3 linked regions of the Sus scrofa genome follow. The protein of the gene in region 1 binds, or shares a complex with, the protein of each later gene. Links are inferred from orthologs where the notes say so. Each region holds a gene or a part of one and is shown in the gene's direction. Other genes may lie near its edges.

Evidence for each region.
Region 2: TFDP2 (region 1) and E2F2 share a complex: the UniProt entries of both Homo sapiens proteins name them as parts of the DRTF1/E2F transcription factor complex. The link is inferred for Sus scrofa from reciprocal best matches to the Homo sapiens genes TFDP2 and E2F2.
Region 3: TFDP2 (region 1) and LIN52 share a complex: the UniProt entries of both Homo sapiens proteins name them as parts of the DREAM complex. The link is inferred for Sus scrofa from reciprocal best matches to the Homo sapiens genes TFDP2 and LIN52.

What each region holds. Positions count from the first base shown.
Region 1 is NC_010455.5:82,765,231-82,771,803, reverse strand, and holds part of TFDP2 (transcription factor Dp-2), read left to right. Parts: intron 1-3,642; coding exon 3,643-3,794; intron 3,795-6,573. UniProt on the Homo sapiens protein: Can stimulate E2F-dependent transcription.
Region 2 is NC_010448.4:81,393,990-81,401,242, reverse strand, and holds the start of E2F2 (transcription factor E2F2), read left to right. Parts: upstream 1-2,380; 5' UTR 2,381-2,896; coding exon 2,897-3,148; intron 3,149-7,253. UniProt on the Homo sapiens protein: Transcription activator that binds DNA cooperatively with DP proteins through the E2 recognition site, 5'-TTTC[CG]CGC-3' found in the promoter region of a number of genes whose products are involved in cell cycle regulation or in DNA replication.
Region 3 is NC_010449.5:97,379,424-97,386,607, forward strand, and holds the start of LIN52 (protein lin-52 homolog), read left to right. Parts: upstream 1-2,596; 5' UTR 2,597-2,933; coding exon 2,934-2,964; intron 2,965-7,184. Other genes in the region: ALDH6A1 (methylmalonate-semialdehyde dehydrogenase [acylating], mitochondrial), read right to left, coding at 2,311-2,358.

The sequences.
Region 1 (6,573 bases):
TTATTCCTGTGCTCCTCCCTGTGGAATTCTGCCTGATGGGATACCCGGCCTGCCTCGCTGTCACCGTCCCGGGCTGCCTCTCTGTAGTCCTTGTCCCCACATCCATATCTGCAGTATTTCTCTCCCAACTCACAGTCCCTAAACCTCTGTGCAAGGGCTTCCTCAGATTTCCTCAAAACCCTCATGGAGCCTTTGGAGCTTGATTTTTGGCATGTGTTATTATGAAAACCTGCTTATCAGTCTGCTTGTAAGTATCTGTTTATCAGAAGGATTTGTGCTGGGCAAGATTGTCCTCTTGTATGTATGTAGGGCTTTCCCATCTCGAGATGGCCAGCACTGAGAATGGAGGTGGTTTTTTTTTTTTTTTTCCCTTCCCCCCTGCTTATCTTTACACAATGAATTTTGCATTTTTTAAGTACCGTATTTCTTTTCCTTGAGTCTCTCCCAAACCAAATATTTATGGATGATTTCAGCCCAGGCGCAACCCAGCTGTCGACATTTAAAGCAGGTCTCTCTAAACATTAAAATGAAACCCAAAGTATCACTGAAAACAACTACTTCTGGTAGACAAACAGCTTATTTCTTCCTAATGTTTCCTTTTCCTTTCTTTCATCAAAGACCATTTATGAAGTTCTCGCAGAAAGTAAAATAAGCAGGTTGTCCCTGAACACCACGAGTTTGTCTTGCTGTGACCAAGCTAGCTTAATTTCTTTAACAAGTTAATGTCACAGCTGTTGACATCATACGACCCAAGTAACTTTTACCTACACGCCATCACTTCTCATTTATCCTTGGTGATAATGTAGGAGTGGGATGATGTGAGTAGGTTAGATTTACAGATAACCCAGGTGCCCTACTTTTATCAATACAGTTGTCCCTTGAAGCCCTTAAACCTTTTACAGAGCTACTAATGCAGAGCACAATGAACGAACACACCTGAAGCTGTTTAGCCTCTGTCAGTGAGCCTGGAAAAGAACAAAAGGCTGTGAGTTCCCTTGTGGCTCAACAGGTAAAGGACCTGGCGTTGTCACTGCTGTGGCTCAGGTTCAGTCCTTGGCCTGGGAACTTCTGCATGCCCTGGGTATGGCCAAAAAGAAAATAACAACAACAACAAAAGACCAAAAGAAATTAGTTCAAAACAAATGGGGAGTGGTATTTCTTTTTTACTCTCAAAATAACATATGTGTTTTTACTGCTTTCTTCACTTGAAAAATCTTTGCTGTCAAGGGAACATAGTATCGAACAATGAATCATAAATACATAAGAACTGTTACTTATCCCTGTTTATATCCCCCCCCATGCCAACCCCCTCCCAATGGCACTAGGACCACAAAGCTAGGCAAAATATAGGGGCGTCTCTGAGATGCTTTTTCTAGAAGAGAGCAGAAGTATTCAAACATACAATTCATTTCCCCAGTTTTACAGGTTCAGCATATTTTTTCTCCATATTAAGTGAAGGAAGTATTGAATATGAAATAGTCTTAGTTCATTAGCAGCAGAAAATAACACATAGGACCCAAGTAATGTTTGGTAATGAATGGTATCGACAGTGATGGTTTTGGGTAGTGACTTTTGGACACACTTTTAGGCCTAGAATATACTGGTGTCCCTTCTGTTTCGTGCATTTTCAAAAAGTAAATGTTTACTTTCCAGGGAGATAGCACCCAGCCATTTAAAAATAATAATTGTAACCAAACTTCAGTAAGGCCCAGAACCTAAAATAAACCACCTTAGAATAAGGCTATTGAAATGTAGAAAATAAACTCATCACTGCTGGGGGAGAAGATGGAGCAAGCCGAAGAAAGATTCCAACTTTAGTTTTTAAAACTAGTATCCGTTCTATGAGCAGATCAAAGACTTCAGTTGCCTAAGGTTTTTGTAACTGTGGGTTCTGCCTTATTTAAAAAGCGGTAGTAGGGACCAGGTCATGGAGATGTAGTTCCCTCGTCCCCTGAGACCTCGCCCTGGAAATGACCTTGCATCTTCTTTTGGTCTGACAGTGGGCCCCAGGGACTGGGGGCTCGCACCCTGCAGGCTGGCCCTACATCTGCCCTCTGCAGAGGGTCCAGGGGGAATTCACTGCCTACCCTTCCTGCCTTGTGGACAGTAGCTCCTCTTAAGCTAACTGGGCCATAGTTTCATGTTGATGGCAGAGCCATAGAGAGAAAGAAATTTCTGTGTGCAAGTCCATTTTCAAGCCTGTGCATTATTTCTGCCAACATCCCATTGGCCAAAGCAAATTACAAATCAAATGGTAGGGATGTAGGAGCAAAGAGAGAACTGTGACTTTTTTTGCCATCTATTACAATGATTACATTGAAATGTCGTTTTGTGCCAGAGGAAGCTATGGCCTCAAAATCCTGACAATGGTCTTGTAGGCAGACGGTGAACTGCCCCAGACAAGCATTCCACACAGTTGCTTGGGGGAGCAGTTCCAAATGATCTGCGACTACAGTGGCATCGTTAGAAGGAAGGGTCTGGCCTCTGAGGTGACTTTTGGGGCGGACAGTGCCCTCTTGGATGAAGGTTTTAGATGAGGGTTTCATCATGTGCTGGTTGGGTGGAACCAAGTCTGCCTTGAAAGTTTTACCTTGTGGTCCCCAAATGGAAAACAGTGGGGGGGCTGTGGTAGGAATTCCTTTTGTGGCTCAGGGGGTTAAGAACCTGACTAGTACCCATGAGGGTGCAGGTTCACTTCTTGGCCCTACTTAGTGGATTAAGGATCCTGCATTGCCACAACTTGCATGTAAGTCGAAGATGCAGCTCAGGTTTGATGTGGCTGGGGCATACGCTGGCAGCTGCAGCTCTGATTCGACCCCTAGCCTGGGAACTTCCATATGCTGCGGGTGCAGCCCTAGTAAGAAAAAGGGGAGGCGGGGGTCACTTTCTATGCCTTATGAGTAATGGTTATAACTAAAAGTAGCGAGATTCAGTGTAAAGATTCAGGCCTTGGTATATCTTAGAATCAGTTTCCTCATCTGGAAGATGTCAGGTGGGCAGAGGTTGGGCCAGGTTCCAGACTCTGCCCTCAGGATGCTTAGAAGTTCTGTGAAGGATCTCAGGTGAGGGCAGACCTGTTGGGGCTTAGGGCTCAGGACTCAGTCCCATGCATCCAGCCAGAGCAATGCTGCTTTCATCTGTTATATAAATAGTGGCTGTCCCAGAAGATGTCATTTGAAGAAAGGGTTCTGTGGCTTTATAAAATTTGCATATTTCTGGGCTAGACAATCTAAGAAGTGTATTTCATGCTAAGCTCTCAGGAGTCTGTGTTAGATAAATGAAAACAAGTCCACTTGGTGTCACTTTCTCTGTATTACTCACTCTATGAGTTGTGGGTGCACTGGCTTCTCCCAGATCTGTAAGATCCTGCTTTAGTGGGTGGTGGAAGCCATGGGCCCTATTATTTACATTAGGATACGTTAGACACCATTTAAGAGTATATTTTTCCCTTGAAATTTATTGAGTTGGATCGTTCTAATCTTTCTTCTTAAATATTTAATTTTAATTAACCCAGAGGTGAAAGGCCTCTTTAAATGCTCTCATTTTAAACTATATTTTAAGCGTATTCATCATAATCCATTTAGTTCCACCTCCTTTATCCACATGAAATGACTAAATGTATGTTTTTATTGATCATCACAGCAAATTGCTTTCAAAAACCTGGTACAGAGAAATCGGCAAAATGAACAGCAGAACCAGGGCCCTCCAGCTCTGAACTCCACCATCCAGCTGCCGTTTATAATCATCAACACAAGCAGAAAAACAGTCATAGATTGCAGCATCTCCAGTGACAAGTAAGTGGGGAACGAGCAGCAGAGTGCAGGGCTCACCTTCTAACGTTATGCCGAACAATTGCAAAATTAAGAGGGTTGTGCTCCAAGGCTGACTTCCTCAAGGCATATGAAACGGCTTTGCAGACATGGGGTGCCGTCACCTGCTAGTGCTTGCTCTGTCATTCACCCTCCGCAACCCCCTCTCTTGGGCCTGGCCCTGTGCTGCCTTTGTCATATGCATGGTGGTGCCCATGTATGTACATGTAGGTGGTGTAACTCTGGGCAGGTAAAGTAGAGCATCACTCAGGTAGGTTCGCTGGTGATTCACTGTCGTAGTTGATGCTGAGAATGGTTTAGATCAATGCTGCACTAAAGCAGTTGTTTTCCTTTGCTGTGTCAGAGTTGAGTGTGCTTCTCTTTATGATGAACGAACAGATGTGAAAATGCTAGATGTGTTCTCTGCTTTCTTTCTTATTTATCTCATCCTGTGAAGTCTGTACCTTTTGACCATCTTCATTCATTTCACTCACCCCCCATGTCTGGCAGGTTACCAGTCTGTTCTCTGCATCTGTGAGTTTGGTTTTGTTTTTTTTGTTTGTTTGTTTGTTTGTTTTTTTTGGTCTTTTCTAGGGCCACTCCCGTGGCACATGGAGGTTCCCAGGCTAGGGGTCTAATCGGAGCTGTAGCTGCCAGCCTATGCCAGAGCCACAGCAACGCGGGATCCGAGCCACGTCTGCAACCTACACCACAGCTCACGGCAACGCCAGATCTTTTAACCCACTGAGCAAAGGCAGGGATCGAACCCACAACCTCATGGTTCCTAGTCGGATTCGTTAACCACTGCGCCACGATGGGAACTCCTGAGTTTGGTTTTGGTTTTAGTTTTTGTTTTTTTAAGATTCCACTTATGAGATCGTACACTATTTGTTTTTCTCTTTTTGTCTCACTTAGCGTAATACTCTCAAGGGGCATCCATGTTGTTGCAAATGGCAGGATTTCCTTCTTTTTTTATGGCTGAATGACCCATTGTGTGTATACCCCACATTTTCTTTATCCATTCATCTGATGGTGGACACAGATTGTTTCCATGCCTCGGCTGTTGGAAATGATGCTGTAGGCAGTAAACATGGGAATGCAGGTTATCTGCTCAGGATTGTGATTTCCTTCAGATACATACCCAGAGGTGGGATTGCTGGGTCATTTTAATTTTTTGAGGAACCTCCATACTGTTTTCCCGAGCAGTTGGACCAGTTTACATTCCCACCAGTATGATTTTCATTTTAACTAAGATTGCTGCTACTGTTTATCATACTAGGTAAGCAGTAGCAGTTTTCAAATTACAGAATTTGTAATTTATTTTACTCTTCATGAAGACAGTAGTGGTCTTCAGGCTGTGACCATTATCGAGTTAGTTCAGGGCATAGGGTGCGGAGTGAGACAGATCCAAGTATGGATTGTGGCTCCCCCATTTAACTGCTCCAAGCTGTTTTCCTAAGAACTAATGGGGACCGTCCAAGGGTGTCTCATCACTTCGGTGGCTGCCATGATGCTTAAATAAGATGATGCCTCTAAGAGGTCTGACTCAAGGCAAGTGCTGCTGTCCCAAGGAGTCAGCATATAATTTGAGAGCAAAAGAAGGCTCAGTGATCACAGAGGCACAGCCCAGGACTGTTCCAGGGCTGGAACTGCTGGTTTCCTTAGAGCTAGGGTGTCACTAGGGGGCTAAATTTACCGTCGCTGGCGTTTCCCACTCTTTTCTCTAGCAGTGTTGCTTTCCTGTCTGTCCTGATTGCATACAGAGATTCTGGGTCACTTAAATAAGAAGGCACTTAAAAAAAAAAAAGGAGAAGGAGGAAGAAGAAGAAAAAATGAGGGTTTCAAAAGTATTTGATAATTAAGACTACAGACACAACTGGGAATTGTCAGGACCATGCAGGCTGTGAAGTCAGAAGATCCATTTTTCAGTCTTTCCTCTAACTACATAGTTTCTTAACCTCTCCGAGATCTCATTTCTTCCTCCATAAAAATAAGAATTAAAGCATTTATTTAACTTGCTGGTTTGCAAAGGTAAATCCCCAAAAGACCAGCCCACTGGTCAGTAAATGGTAGGTGTGTTAGTATTCACACACTTAAAATTCCTTACAAAAACCTATGTCTACAAGGACTGTTAACCATACTCTCTCATAAATCTGAGAATTCTAGAGAATGGTTAACATATTTTCAGGAAAAATGAACTGTTTTTGTGGGGAATTACTAAATTCTGTTCTTTGGTTCGTCTTAAGTCTAAAAAGAGTAGCAGGTTATCACAACATTGTATATCAACTGTACCTCAATAAAACTTAAAAAATGGAAAAGATAGGAGTTCTGGTCGTGGCTCAGTGGTTAACGAATCCAACTAGGAACCATGAGGTTGCAGGTTTGATCCCTGGCCTTGCTCAGTGGGTTAAGGATCTGGCTTTGCCATGAGCTGTGGTGTAGGTTGCACACGCGGCTCGGATCCCGTGTTGCTGTGGCTCTGGCGGAGGCCCGCGGCTACAGCTCCTATTAGACCCCTAGCTTGGTTTCTCCATTTGTCGTGGGAGCGGCCCTAGAAAAGGCAAAGAGACCAAAAAAAAAAAAAAAAAAAGGAAAAGATAAATAAAAAGAGCAGCAGGAAAGTCTGGGGACCAGTAGCCTAAAGGATTTATGGATTCTCTTCATCTCAGGCAGGGGTTCTAGTGAGGTTTCCTTCTTGGGTGGTTACTGACTCCGCCCTTTCCTCGCCCTCCCCTGAGTGAAAGAGGCACTAAGCTGCCTGAAG
Region 2 (7,253 bases), on another chromosome or scaffold:
CAGTGCCTAGGGGCCTGTCACCAGGCTCTTCAAGGTGCAAAAGAGCCTATAAAGTTGAAGGCGAATGAAGATTGTCATGACAAATGTTTTCCCAAAACTTATCATCAAAGATGGCTGTAAGAAAACCACTAAGAGCACAACTGCATGTAAGAAGCGTATGGGTACTTGCAGATGAATGTTCAGGTTCTTAGCTGTGGTGTTTAAAATTTCCTCATTGGAGTTCCCATTGTGGCTCAGTGGTAACAAACCTGACTAGTATCCAAGAGGACGCGGGTTCGATCCCCGGCCTCATTCGGTGGGTTGAGGATCCGGCATTGCCATAAGCTGTGGTGTAGGTCTCAAACAATGTATGTTGCAAATGTGGTTGGGATCTGGCTTTGCTTTGGCTATGGCTAGGCTGGTAGCTACAGCTCCGATTCCACCCCTAGCCTAGGAACTTCCATATGCTACAAGTGCAGCCCTAAAAATACCAAAAAAAAAAAAATTATTTAAAAAAAATAAAAATTCTTTATTGCCTGAAAGGTGAGGCATAAAATATTATGGAATAAAAAATGAAGACTTGGTCAAGAAGACATGCATTGAAGCAAATGATGAAAATTAACATTTTATTTAACATTCATTGATCAGCTCGCAATAAGTTATGTAGAAAAATACATGCTTGAATGATTTTAATGGCTAAGGAATAAAATAAAATAGTAATATCAAAAAAGTAAAATAAAAAAGTAATATCAAAAAAGTAAAATAAAAAGTAAAATAAAAAAGTAATATCAAAAAAATTAACTGGGAGCTCCCTCGTGGCTCAGTGAATTAAGGATCCTGCATTGGCACTGTGGCGCGGGTTTGATCTCTTGCCAGGAAACTTCAATATGCCGTGGGTGCGCCAAAAATAAATAAATAAGTAAATAAATAGGCTGGGCCATGAAAGTCCAGTGAAATGCATAGACTGGAGTAAAGGGGTCTGTGTACTAGAGATAAGGCCAGAGATGTAACCACAGCTGCTGTTTCTTAAGTGCCTAAGGAACTAGGCTGGGTGCTGAGAGCTTTACATGTGGTATCTCATGAGATTCCCCCACAATCTTATGAAGTGAGTGTCACTAGGGATAAGGAAACCCGAGCTCAGAGAGTTTACAGAACTTGCCTGGGGTCACACAGCTAGTGAAGTGACAGTGCCTGGGATTGAACCCAGGGCTGTCTGCCACAAAGTCTGGGTTCTTCATCCCCATGAATTATTACCACCTCATCCTGGAGATCTGAGGATCCGGTAGGTAGTAAGCTGGAGACTGACTCCAGAGTGCTTCGAATGCCAGGCTCAAACTTGTATAAAAATCACACAGCACCAGGCAGGAATCAGCAGATATGGAATTTAGCAGCAACTTCTGGAGCCTCTGCCACTCACTAGCCAAGGTCTCTTCTCTGAGCCTTGGCCTCCCTAAATTTGGAGAGATGAGGAATGTAAATGGATTATCAGCAATGAGGGAAGGAAGACCTGTGACTAAAGGATTGTTTAGGAGAAACCTGGAGATGTGCAATTATTTACTGAGTGATGGGCTCTGGGCATACACTGTGAACAGGTTGGAGCCCTGCAGTCTGAACTCCCAAGCAAGCCTGCAAGGGGCCGGGCACAGCTTGGGAGAGTGAGGGAGGAGACTTTTATTGGAACAAATAAGGGCCCAGGAGCTGGCCTGTCCCATGTTGAACTGCCAGACCTCAAGTCGCTGATCTCTCTGTGTGACCTTGGGCAAGTTACCTAGCCTCTCAGACTGTCCATCTTTGCCACGAAGAACATTGTTCCTCTTCTGAGGGTTGTTGGATTAAATTAAATGAAATAAAACGAAATCATCTAGCCAGGTGCTTAGCATAATCAATATGCCAGGTTATGGGAGCTCAATAGATGTCAGTAGCCCCCTTTGAAGAGGTACAAATGTTAGGTTCCGTCTTTCACCCTCTTGCCAGGAAAGAGTACAGGTTCCTGGCTTTCAGTTTCATTTTGGCTCTCATTTCATTTCATTTCATTTTAGCGGGGGGAAAAGGATATAAACACACATATGTTATCTGAACTATACGCAAACAAAAGGCCTGCGTCCTGGGCAGTGTACTGCTTGCTGGGTCTGGGCTCTGGTCAGGACTCCACGCCAAAGTGTTTTCCCTCACCTCCAGGGAATTCGGACCCAGTCCTCAGCTTGCGGCTGCCTCTACCCTGGGCGGGAACCATCCTCTCAGTCTGTTTCTCCCTCAGCCAGCGCTGGCGGGCGCCGAGCAACAGCAGGTGTAGCGGCCCCTTTAAGCCCCAGGCTCTTGTTGTAATCACCGCCTAGGGGTCGGGTCCTTTCCGGGGGGTGGAGCCTTTGCCTGTGTCAGCGACCAATCAGAGCGCGGCATTTTCCGCGGGAGATCCGAATTTCGCGGCACGCAGTTTCGCGCTAAAAAAAAAAAGAAGAAGAAAAAAAAGAAGCAGAGAAAGGTTCAGGGACTCGAGAGCGAGGCGAGAGGGAGTCGGTGCAATCGGTCTGTCTCCCCGATCCCAGCGCATCGCGTTTCTGCCGAGCCCGCGGGTACCCCAGAGACCCCTTCCCGGAGCCGGCTGGATCCCAGGCGCCTAAGCCTTCGGGGGCTCAGGGCCCTCGCTGGTCGCAGCCGTCCTCGGGGCGGGACAGCCCCTGGCTGTGCCGCCGCCGCCGCCGCCACCAAGCGATCTCCAAGCGGCGATCTCCAAGCGCTGTCCGGCTCGGCGGCGGGCCAGGAGGGGAGGGTCTGGCCTTGCCCCGCCGGCGTCCATTGGCGGCTTCCCCCGGCCTCCGCGCCATGCCGCGGGTCGTGTGAGCCACCCTAGGCTCCGAAGCCCGCAGGTGCCTGCGGGCGCGCCAGGCCCGGCTGGGGAGGGGGCGCTGCACTCGCCATGCTGCGAGGGCCCCGGGTCCTGGCTCCTGCCGCGGGGCCGCCCCCCACTGGACTGCCCGCGATGAGCCCCACCGAGCTGTGGCCGCCCGGCCTTAGCAGCCCCCAGCTCTGCCAGGCCACCACCACCTACTACACCCAGCTGTACCCGCAGACTATGCCTCCCGCCGCAGCGCCGGGCACCTGCCTCGACGCCACCCCCCACGGACCGGAGGGCCAAGCTGTGCGATGCGTGCCGGCTGGCCGGCTGCCGGTAATGCTGGGGACCCCCCTCACCCACCGCTTCCCTCTCTGCTTATCTGGGTGTGGGAAAGGCGGGAGGGACCCAGTCTGAGTGAAGCAGGTTGAATCTGGGGAGGGAGAAGGGGCGCTTTCAGCTTCCAGAACAACACATTTCCTAAATATCTGAATAGAAGAGCCTTTCGTTTTCAGACTTGGGGTGAAATAACCTCATTTCTTGGAGTGGAATGGAATGAGCACTGGATCAAGAGTGTGGAGACCCAACACTATCCTCAGTGCACCCTGGGGAAGACCATGGGATCAATTTGCTGTCATTCATTCTTGTGTTCATTGTTTGGCCCAGAAACCAGTGCTGGGCACCTGCTATTGTCCAGTCACAGAGCTGAGCCTGGGGACAGTAACAAGGGACTTTAAAATAGGGGGAGGTCTCTCAGGTCCAGTCGGGCTGAGATTCCAAATTTTGCACTGAGCCAACTCTTTCCTGACTTTTGCCCTAGGTCCTCCCCCAGGCTCAATCTTCTGTTCCAGACAGCCAGTAGCAGGTGCAAGTTGGGGGCAGCCCTCTGGGGTTCCTGTTCAGATTGACTGTTCCTTCTTCAAGCCCCCAGGCCCGTTGCCAGGGAGGGGCCAATGTGTGGTGGCACCAGACACAGGGTGTGTTGTGTGGGAGTGGAATTCCTGGAGCCCATGAGAATCGAAACAACCATAGGGTGGGGATGGAGTTGGAAGAGCCCTGAGGGTGTGGGGGTGGTAGTTAGCGAGCCTGGTTTCTCGTCCTGATTGCCATTTATTCGCTGTGTGTCCTTGGACAAGTCTTGGCCCCAATCTGAGTCCCAATTTCCTTGTCTTGAAAATGTGTGTCTGCATGGGTAGCTGTGGGACTAACTCACCTCGAGTCTCTTCCAGCTCCAGGTCCTGGGTTTTGGAAGCAGGCTCCAAGGAGGGGAGATGGGGCTCTTGTGGGTTTGCTTTGTGTGAGTGGTGAAGTAATTCAGGTACAGGGATAAGACCACCCCTCTGCCCTAGAGGCATCTGGTCAGACCTGTGTCAGTCAGCAGGCATAGGTCTCCAGCCACCTCTGGCTACGGGCAGAGTCCCCCACTCCCTGCTGCTTGAATCCTGCTTTGCCCATGCTCAAGGCTTAAAACTTTTCAGGGCTCCTTCCTGAACATTATTTCCAACCAGGAGAAAGGAGCAGGAGGACTTTTCCTATTTCACAGGTCAAACAGCCAAGGGTAACAAGGACTCTGCACCTATATTTTATTCAGCATTTTACAGCCTAAAACAGTTTTGAAACCTATAAAGTAGGTGGTATCAGTGTGCAGGGAGGGAAATAGTCTTGCAGAGGGGATGGGACCTGTCCAAGGTCACACAGAGAGATGTATGACCCACAAGGCAAGTGATCATTAGTTTCTTCCCGCAGCCTTGACTTTCCCCAGTACTGCCTGATGTAGGAGCTGGGTGTCCCCACGGAGGGGGCTCAGCGGTGGGCCCAGTCTCTCCTCTGGCCAGCTGCTTTCAGGCAACCCGGCAGAGTTTCAGTAACAGCTGTGGTTTTGAACTGCTTCCCTCCCAGAGGAGTCGAGTGCATCTGTCCGTCCCTCCCTCCCTGAGAGGCTCAGTGATCACAGCAAGAATGACTCTCTTTTATTGAATGCCTCTGATGTGCCAGGCACTGCTTGGCACTCTTCGCTTTCGTTATCTTGGCCAAGATGCCTGGCAAGAGGCATCTTACAGATGAGGAAACTGAGCATAGACGTGAAGTCACTTGTCCAAGCTCCAACCAAGACATGGTAGCATCTCTTTGCATCAGACCACCCTCAAGGCATTTGGGGCCTAGAACCCCCCTCTCCTGTTGGTCCCCAGCTGCCCTGTGCCCCTGAGTCCCCTGGGCAGGCCTTGGCCCCCTGCTTACTCATTTTAACAGGGTGTGACCTGGAATAGCTCCAGACCCAACCCTGGGTGTGGCCCCTTGCTTTGTGGCCAGGCTGCAAAGTGCAGGGTGAGCAGGATTTGTTGGGGAGCTGCTGTTTAAAGGGACCTTAGGCACTGCCCAGGGATGGCAGCCAAGTTCAATGGCAGAATGAAGGCGGGAACCCAGGTCTCCAGAGCTCTCTCCGCCACCTCTGGAGAAAGTGTGGGATGTTCCTTGGTTAAGTTCCTACTGCGCCAGGCACGTGGCCTCACTCTATGCCTTTCCTGCAGGAACCTGTGACGAGGGTAGAATTCTGCATAATTTGTCTGTATTTTCCAAATTTCCTCTGAGAGCCAGGAAAGAAAATGAACATTTTAATGAAAAGCCTACAATGCGGGTCAGATGAGGAAATGAAGGCCTAAGGAGGGAGGCAGCAAGCCCCTCTCAGGCTACCAGGCAGAGCCGGGATCTGGAAACCAGGCTCTCAGCAACTTACACTGGCTCCTGCTCCCACTGTCTAGCTTGGGACTTGGGGCTTAGGCAACACCTGCTCCACTCCCTGTGTGACCTTGCGCAAGTCACTTCCCCTCCTTCGAGTCCCAGTCTCCTCACCTTGCTGCCCATCCAGGGGCAGCATCTGGGGCTCTGGCCCTCTCACTTTGAGGGCTGCCCGCTCTTCTCCCTTGGGGTTGGCAGAGTACTTTCGAATCCTAACCAGGCCTTTAAGAAACAGCCAAAGGGGCTGCCTAAGAGGTTAGAGGTCAGGTTAGAGCCAGCTGGCCTTTGCTCTTGGCACATCCCTGTTGCTTTTCAGTTCACCTCCAAGCTTTCCCTTTGTGGACTTTAGCGATTGCGGCTCCCCGCATGAGCAAGAGCTTTGAGCTGTGTTCTCAGTGGATCCTCGCCAGGAGAAGGTAGAGCGTCCCCGTTTTACAAGCAAAGCTCAAGAGGTCAGCAGACTTGTCCAGCTTACCCAGCCTAGTCAGGAACCCAGATGGCTTTGACTCCAAGCTCTGGGTTCAGCTTCTCCTTGGTCCTCATTCTCCTGGGCTTGGCCTCCGTCACTTCTGTTCTGCAGACTCAGGCCCATCCCTGATGAGCCGACTTTTCTCTGGGCAGTGTTCAAAAGGGGCAGAGAGACATTCTCGGGTGGGGGACATTTTGCTGCTCAGGGACCCTGAGAGCGCAGGATAAGGGTGAAGGAGAAGAAGAAAAGGGAGGGGGCTGGTGCGTGCGTGTGTGTGGTGTGTGTGTGTGTGTGTGTGTGTGTGTGTGTGTATAAAGTGATGGAGGCAGGTGGACATAACCAGGCCTTGTTTCAAATGTCAGCAAATTCTGGGCCAGTGTATGTGGGATGGAGCTGAGCAGCCTGATACATGGCTTTGGAGTCAGACAGACCTGGGTTCAAACTCTGGCTCTGCTCTTTGTCTGGGTGGCCTTGGGTGCGTGGCTTAACCTCTCTGAGCCTCCATTTCTCAACTGCCAAGTGAGATTACCATACTGAGTTAGGATGGGTGAGCGTGTGATAGGCCCAGTACAGGTATCCTGTCCAAGGTCCTCTCCTCCTCCCCGCCCTGTAGGTAGTGAGGTTCTTCTGGTGTGTTCTGTGAACTCAGCAGGGGCTGGCTTCTGTGGGGTGAGGGAGGTGGGTGGCACTGGGGAGACTCTGGGCTGCCACCTTTGCCTCATGTAGAACTCAGCCTTCCTCTCCTTGTCCTTGCTGTACCTTCTGAGGGATGGATGAAGGATTCTGGGATGGACAACCTTGATCAGGACTGATAAAGGCCTTGGAGCTTACCAGGTCTCAGCTGCTTCACCTGTGAAATGGGTGTTGGGAAGACTCAATGAGGTGATGAATATTGGGACTTAGTTAAAGGCAGGCGGAAGGTCTCAGTGAATGATTGGGACTTTATAGATTGGGACTAGAGCAGGTCCCTTTCCCTAGAATCTAGCATTTTACCAGTTGGGAGGTTAGAAAAGGAATATTCCATAGAGACTTCAAGAGGAATGAGCAGGGAAGTGTGGTGTTGGGATCCATCCAGGCCTGGGTAGGGATGGAGGAGAGGAGCGTCCTATCCAGGCTCCTCACATCAAGGAGCAGGAAGTCCAAGAAGACTTCCTGGAGGAGGCATGAGTAGAGGGGGAGGGAGCTGACAGCAGGAAGAACCATCACCACCCCCCACACCTGTGAGCCCAGCTGTGC
Region 3 (7,184 bases), on another chromosome or scaffold:
TATTCTAATCTTTACAACTATTCTTAAAACTAGGACGTGGTCGAGCTGGGACAGAATCCAACTATGATTGGGAAGCCTGTGCTCATTATACTGCATCACTGAGAAAAGTCACTGAGCAACTCAAAGACCAGTTTTCTTATCTTTAAATGGGAGTGATAATATTATGACTGCCAGAAACTAGACTACTCCTTTTTTTTTTTTTTTTTTTTTTTTTTTTTTTGGGCCCTGCACCTACACCACATGGAAGTTCCCAGGCTAGGGGTCGAATCAGAGCTGCAGCTGCCAGCCTACACCACAGCCATGGCAATGCAGGATCCATGCTGTGTCTATGACCTACACCACAGCTCACCCCAACACCAGATGCTTAACCCACCAAGCAAGGCCAGGGATCGAACCCACATTTTCATAGATACTAGTTGGGTTCTTTACCGCTGAGCCACAATAGGAACTCCCATAGACTACTCTTTATCAGAGTGTTATGTCACAGTAATTTCTAGTTGGCTAAAGATTACTAAAAACGAAAAAGATACTAGAAAAACAGAACTAGGATCACATCAAGAAATATGAATGGGAGTTCCCACAATGTTGCACAGGGTTGAGAATCCAACTGCAGCAACTAGGTTTGCTTTGAGGAATGGGTTCAATCCTGGCACAGTGGTTTCAAGGATCCAGCATTGCTGCTTCTATGGCTTGGTTAAAACTCTCAATCCCTTGACTGGGAACTTCAACAGCCAAGGGTGTGGCCATTGAAAAAAAAAAAAAAAAAGAAAAAAGAAAAATAAATATGCGTGAAACCAGATCACTTGACAAACCCTTCCAACCCTTTCTTCACACTGTCCCATTAAATAGCATATTTAAACAGGAACTTTTGCTGACTCTGCTAAGAATCTTTAAAATGCATAGTCTCTGCAGTAGAACTCACTGAAATCTGGTGAATACTATCTAAAAGTCCAGTAGTATAGAGGAAGACTTTCTTAGGTTTGATATAATGAGTAAGAAAAGCAACGTTGTTTTTTGCAGATTCCTGAATGTTGCCTGTGGCAAATCTCACCTCAAAATCCAAGTCCTTGCTAGGCTGTGGACAACATAGGAAAAGCTATGTATGAATAGTTGGAAATCACAGGTCTCAGGCAGGCAGCTCCTGTAGCTCTATCTACTGTCTGCCCTTAGGCTGGCTTCAGAGAGGACCTGGTCCCTCCACCTCCACTCCCAGCCCCACCTCTGAGGGCAGAACTGAGTCACACTAAGGTGATTTTGGAGTGGGAACTTAGAACGTTACACCTGTTTTCCTTGGCTTTTATTTTCTGCCACTTGTTTCAGAGGTGTTTAGTCCTTTGCATGTGCTTGGAACAAACCGGGTAGCATTAACTATGTGTCCTTATTCACCGCCAACATAAACACTAACTTGGCTGAGCAAAAGTTAAACTCAAAGTCTCAGCAAGCCAAGAGGACAGCCTAGCTTGTGGAAAATACAGAACCACGGAGTTCCCGTCGTGGCTCAGTGGTTAATGAATCCGACTAGGAACCATGAGGTTGTGGGTTTGATCCCTGGCCTTGCTCAGTGGGTTAAGGATCCGGCGTGGCCGTGAGCTGTGGTGTAGGTCGCAGAGGGGGCTCGGATCTAGCGTTGCTGTGGCTCTGGCGTAGGGCGGCGAAGACCGCTCCGATTAGACCCCCAGCCTGGGAACCTCCATATGCCGCGGGTGCGGCCCCAGAAAAGGCAAAAAGACAAAAAAAAGAAAAGAAAAAAAGAAAATACAGAGCCAAAGCTGGGGAAGATAGCTCAGCAAATGGCTGCTTTGAGGGAAAGCTTAGTGTGCACTTCTAGAAGGAGACTCAAAGTTCACTCACTGACCCTCACCCCTCAAGTCCTTCCTCCTCCTCCCCTCCGCCCACGCCTTTACCTCGGGTTATAGAGTGAAGTAGGGTTGGGGAAGGGAACAATTTGGACGCTCCCAGAGAATGCCAAGAAAGGCGACCAGAAAAGGAGCTTCTGGAGCAGAGAGGTGGTTGGTGCAGAGGTGAAAGGGAAAGACGGTGGGCAGACCTACAGAGGTGAGGGCAGGGACCGGGCACGGCTGGAGGAGGAGAATGGTCTAAAGCCTGAAAGGGGTAGGCTCAAGAATAAAAAGGCCACGGGTAATAGTCCAGGGCTGGATCCAACGCAAGTGGATACCGAGTGAGATGTGGGACAGGGCCGCTCAGGTCCGATGGGAATAGGAGGGTCGGCCAAGGGGGGGTTGGTTCACAAAGCGGATGGAAAGGACTGAATTCCTAGTTTCATGAACCCTTGGCGCCACCCTCACTCGCCTGCAGGATCCGGGCCCGCACTGCCGCCGCAGCCAGCACCGCCGCCATGGTTCTCGGTTGCCTCTTCTCAGCCCCCCACGCCTTTCTGTGAGACTGTCCAGAAACACTACTGCTGCTAGGCCTTGCCCCTCCATCCTGCCGAACCTCTTCATTGGTGGAGAGGACTATTTCCCCTAGCCAATCACACGCCTTAACACTGACTCCACGCCCTCAGTGCCCAGTTCTGGGCGTATGCGATTGGTCAGAAGTGATAGAGCTCTCGCCTCCTCCCGCCTCAACAAATTCTGCTGGCGGAGGTGGGGAAGACGCCCCTGACTTGGATACTCTATATTGAGAGCACGAGGAAGACGCCCCCGAATTCGGAACTCCGATTGGCCACAGGCATGGCCGCAGCCCCACCCACTCACTGAGGAAAGTAAATAGGACTCTGCAAGAATTTTCAGCAGCGCCAGCACATCCACAGCGCGAGGGGGTGTGGCTAGCCCTGGGGGCGGGGCTACGGAAGATTACCCTATGGGGCGGGGAAACGAGACAGGACAGAGGGTTGGGGAATAGGGTTTCTCTCTGGGGGCGTGGCTTATGGACCCTAGCTTTCCCGCCGACGGTTGGCAACGTCACGTGACATGGGTTGGAAGATGGCGTCTCCCACAGACGGTAAGAGCCGGCTTATAGACCCTTCGCTTGCGACCTCCTTCTCTGTTCTCCTGGGAACTTACAGATGCTCAGAGAGAATCTCTCCGTCTGCCCCTCTAACTTACACCTTTTTCGTGGCCTTCTCGCCTTTCCCTTTTACTTTCCCACGGTATGTGGGTGCGTCTTCAGCTCGCTGGTTCTTCACAGAGGCTCCGGAGGTGCCCAGTTTCTTTGCAGTGTGCCAGGCGGATGGAGTAGGGCACCCGATTGGGACCCATTCCGGGCAAAACAAGGAGGGCCTCTCTGGTCCTCCTTTAGCCGCATTTGAGTGAGGCTGAGGGCCAAGGAGGAGATACTGCTGGGGTAAAGGAGGTGTCTCAGTGTAGCTTTCTCTTTCTCAGGGCGCCCCTTTGAAGGTTCGATTCTCTTTGAGCATCTGGAACGATTCTCTCACGCTAGCTAGGGTTGGTGGCAGACCTAATCTCGGGATTGAACCGCAAGGAAAATGTGATTCTCTCCTCCCTCCTCGGATTGGGACCGTTGTTCTGGCAGCAAGGGAAGCAGGAGACCCCTCTTGGTCCCTCTCAGTGAGAGTCCCTAGGAAAATGACAATTGAGCTTTTTAGTGTAGTCATGCACATTCATTCACTCAGCGTCTTTCTTCTATGTTATGTGTTGTTTCCTAAGGCTGAGTGAATGAATGATTTCTGCTTATATGTTGTATAAGAAGCAAGTCATCTGAGGTAGCAATTAAGTGGTTTTGGTATATCCACAGGGTTTTGCGCTCCGTTCTGCTTTAGGGTTAGGGTCTTGCAGTCATTTCTAAGCTCAGTTTTTGCCTCGACAAAATGCTTGCAGTCGTTTCTAAACTCAGTTTTGCATCTCCACGTCCATTTCACTTATACTTAGTTTTCTCTCAAACAAAGGAATTTTGTGTATGGAAGGAATCTTGGAAGTTCATTTCAAGAATGAGGAAGTTGAGGCCTGGAAAGCTATGCTGAGATCCACTATTCGAAAGGCATTATTATTCTAATTGCTTTGGGAGAGGAAAAGATTAATCAAACATGTAATATTTTTTCAGTTTCATTTAAATGTCACCTCCCAAAAAGGCTTTCCCAGAACACTGTATCTGTTTCTGGAGTTGCCTCACTTCACCATTATTCTATCTCAGTACCCTCATCCACAGCATAGTTATTCTGTTAACTTTGCCCCTTTCACACTAGCTTGTAAATTCCAAGACTGTCATGTTCATAGTTGGATCCCAGGGCTTAGCACAGTACCTGGCAGGAAGTAGGTCTTCAATTCACATTTATTGAATGAATGATTAGATATATACATAAATAATGTATTACTTAGTCTTAAGTTTTAACTGAGTGTTAAGTTTTTTGAGCATGGGTACGTACTGCAGAGGAAATTATGGGTGTAAAGAGTCAAAAGAGGAGTTACCATTGTGGCTCAGTGGTTAACGAATCCGACTAGGAACCATGAGGTTGCAGGTCCTATCCCTGGCCTTGCTCAGTGGATTAAGGATCCGGCGTTGCCGTGAGCTGTGGTGTGGGTCGCAGACACGGCTGGGATCCTGAGTTGTTGAGGCTCTGGCGTAGGCTGGCAGCTACAGCTCTGATTAGACCCCTAGCCTGGAAACCTCCATATGCCGCGGGAGCGGCCCAAGAAATGGCAAAAATATAGGAGAAAAAAAAAAAGAGTCAAAAGAGATTCTTCTGCCTGGGTGCTCTCTTGTTAAAATGTGCTTTTTTTTTTTTTGCCTGGAAAAAAAGGACATTTAAAAAGTTAACCAAGGGTATGAGGAGCTACTGTTTAATGGGTATAGACTTTTAGTTTGGGAAAGTGAAAAGGTTCTGGTAATGGATAGTGATGATGGTTACCCAACAGTGTGAATGTACTTAATGCCTCTGAACTGTACACTTAAAACTGGTTAAAATGGTAAATTTTATGTTGTGTATATCTTATCACAATTTTAAAAAACCAGCCAAGGGAGAGAAGTAGAAGTAATTGCTATTTAAAAATTTTAGTTTATTACTAAGTTGTGTATACATATATATTTTTTTGTTTCTTTTTAGAGCTACACCTGCGGCATATGGAGTTTCCCAGGCTAGGGGTCTCCCAGTCTAGGGACTGAATCAGAGCTGTAGCTGCTTAACCCACTGAGTGAGGCCAGGGGTGGAACCTGTGTCCTCATGGATACTAGTCGGATTCATTAATCGCTGAGCCACGACAGGAACACCAAAGTTGTTTTTATATTTTTAAGTTTTGTTCCTCATGTTTGATTTTACCCCATCTTCTCTCAATTTCTTTTCCTTTCTTTGGCCAGGGAGAATATTGGAAGTGTATTTTTCCCCTTTGGTGTTCTAGCCATCTCCACTGACACTCTATTTGCACATTTAATTTTTAAAAGTTTCATGCTCATCTTTTACAGAGCTTCACCCTTCTCTTAATCTTTTTAACATGGCAAAATCAAGTTGAACACTTTGAACTTAAATAAGTATCTCATCCTAAGATATTCCACTGCCTAGCTCTCTCACTTCTATTTTTAGCATTCCACCTGTTTCTGTCTTTAAGATTTAATTCAAATTATCTTGATGTGAAAAAAGTTTAGGTCACTTATTGTTTCTCTTTTTAATGCTGAATTTGCTGGGACATCTTTTAAAAGGATAAAATTGAAATCTAAGTAAAGCCATTAATTACTTAATGTATGAAAATAATACTCACAGTAGACTCTTGAGTTATGCCCCAGATTGTGGTATCACGTGGGCACACTTGTAGGTTATTGGATCCTACCTTCAATAAGTTTATTTTTGTTATGGTTGAACTATCCATAGTAACGTTCCTTAGTATTTTGAAAATTGGCTTTTTTTTTGGTTTCACACAGCTTTTCTTTCTTTCTTTTTCTTGTTACCATTTTTGAATCCTTTTTTGAAGGCAGTTTGTTAGAGTTGAGTTCTCTACCAATTAGAATACCATTGGAAATTCGCTTAGATTAAGTATTTAGGTTCAGCTAACATCCATCTTATGCAGATACAGTAGAAAGAAAAGGAAGACGAAAAGGAAAAATTTTTTTTCTCTTTTTGATGAGAACTCTCAGCATTTACTCTCTTAACTTTCCTGTGTATCATACAGCAGTGTTAGCTATAGTCATGTTGTGCATTATATCCCTAGTACTTAATTTACCTTGTAACTGGAAGTTTATACCTTTTGACCACTTTCCTCCAATTCTCCCTCTCCCCGCCCCCGCCACTTCTGATAACCACAAGTGTGATCTCTTTGTCTATTCGTTTGTTTGCTTGTTTTAGATTGCACGTGTAAGTGAGAGTGTACAGTGTTTGTCTTTCTCTGACTTATTTCATTCAACATAAAGCCTTGAAGGTCTGTCCAGTTTGTTGCAAATGACAGGATTTCCTCATTTATTTACGGCTAAATAATAATTCCACTGTGTATGATCTATTTTCTTGGATACTTTAAAAAATTTTTTTATTTTTATTTTTAAGGGTGCACTCGTGGCATATGGAAGTTCCCAGGTTAGGGGTCAAATTGGAACTGCAGCTGCCAGCCTACACCACAGCCATAGCAACACAGGATCCGAGCCATGTCTGTGACCTACACCATAGCTCATGGCAGCGCTGGATCCTTACCCTGCTGTTTGAGGCCTGGGATCAAACCTACTCCTCATGGATACTAGTTGGATTCGTTACCTCTGAGCCACAATGAGAACTCCCTGTGTCTATTTTCAGTCTCTTCATTTATCAGTGGACACTAAGGTTGTTCCCATGTCTTGGCTATTATAAATAATCTTGTTATGAACATGGGGGTCCCTTAGAATATTTCCAAAAAAAAAAATTCAGTTTAGAGAGAAGCACATGTTGAAAATTTTATAAATATGTACGTTTTCTAGAGAGTGAGTCTGTAGCCTTTTTTTTTTTTTTTGCAGATTTCAAAAATGTGGCTTACTCAGAAAATGTTAAGAACCACTTTATATCATTAAATCAACGAATTTGTATAGCTAATTAGTATACTGAGCACACAAAATGTACTCAGCAAATGTTAACTGTTGTTAACATTGAGCACTTCCTGTGTGCCAGGGCAAGAGTAGAGAAGAAATGGTGTCAAAGAATTAGGCAGGGTCTGGATTATGTAGGATTTTATAGGTCATAATAGACATGCATTCATGAATTCAGCTGGGAAGAAGTCCTTTAAGCTGGAGAGTGATATGAACTGATTGACATT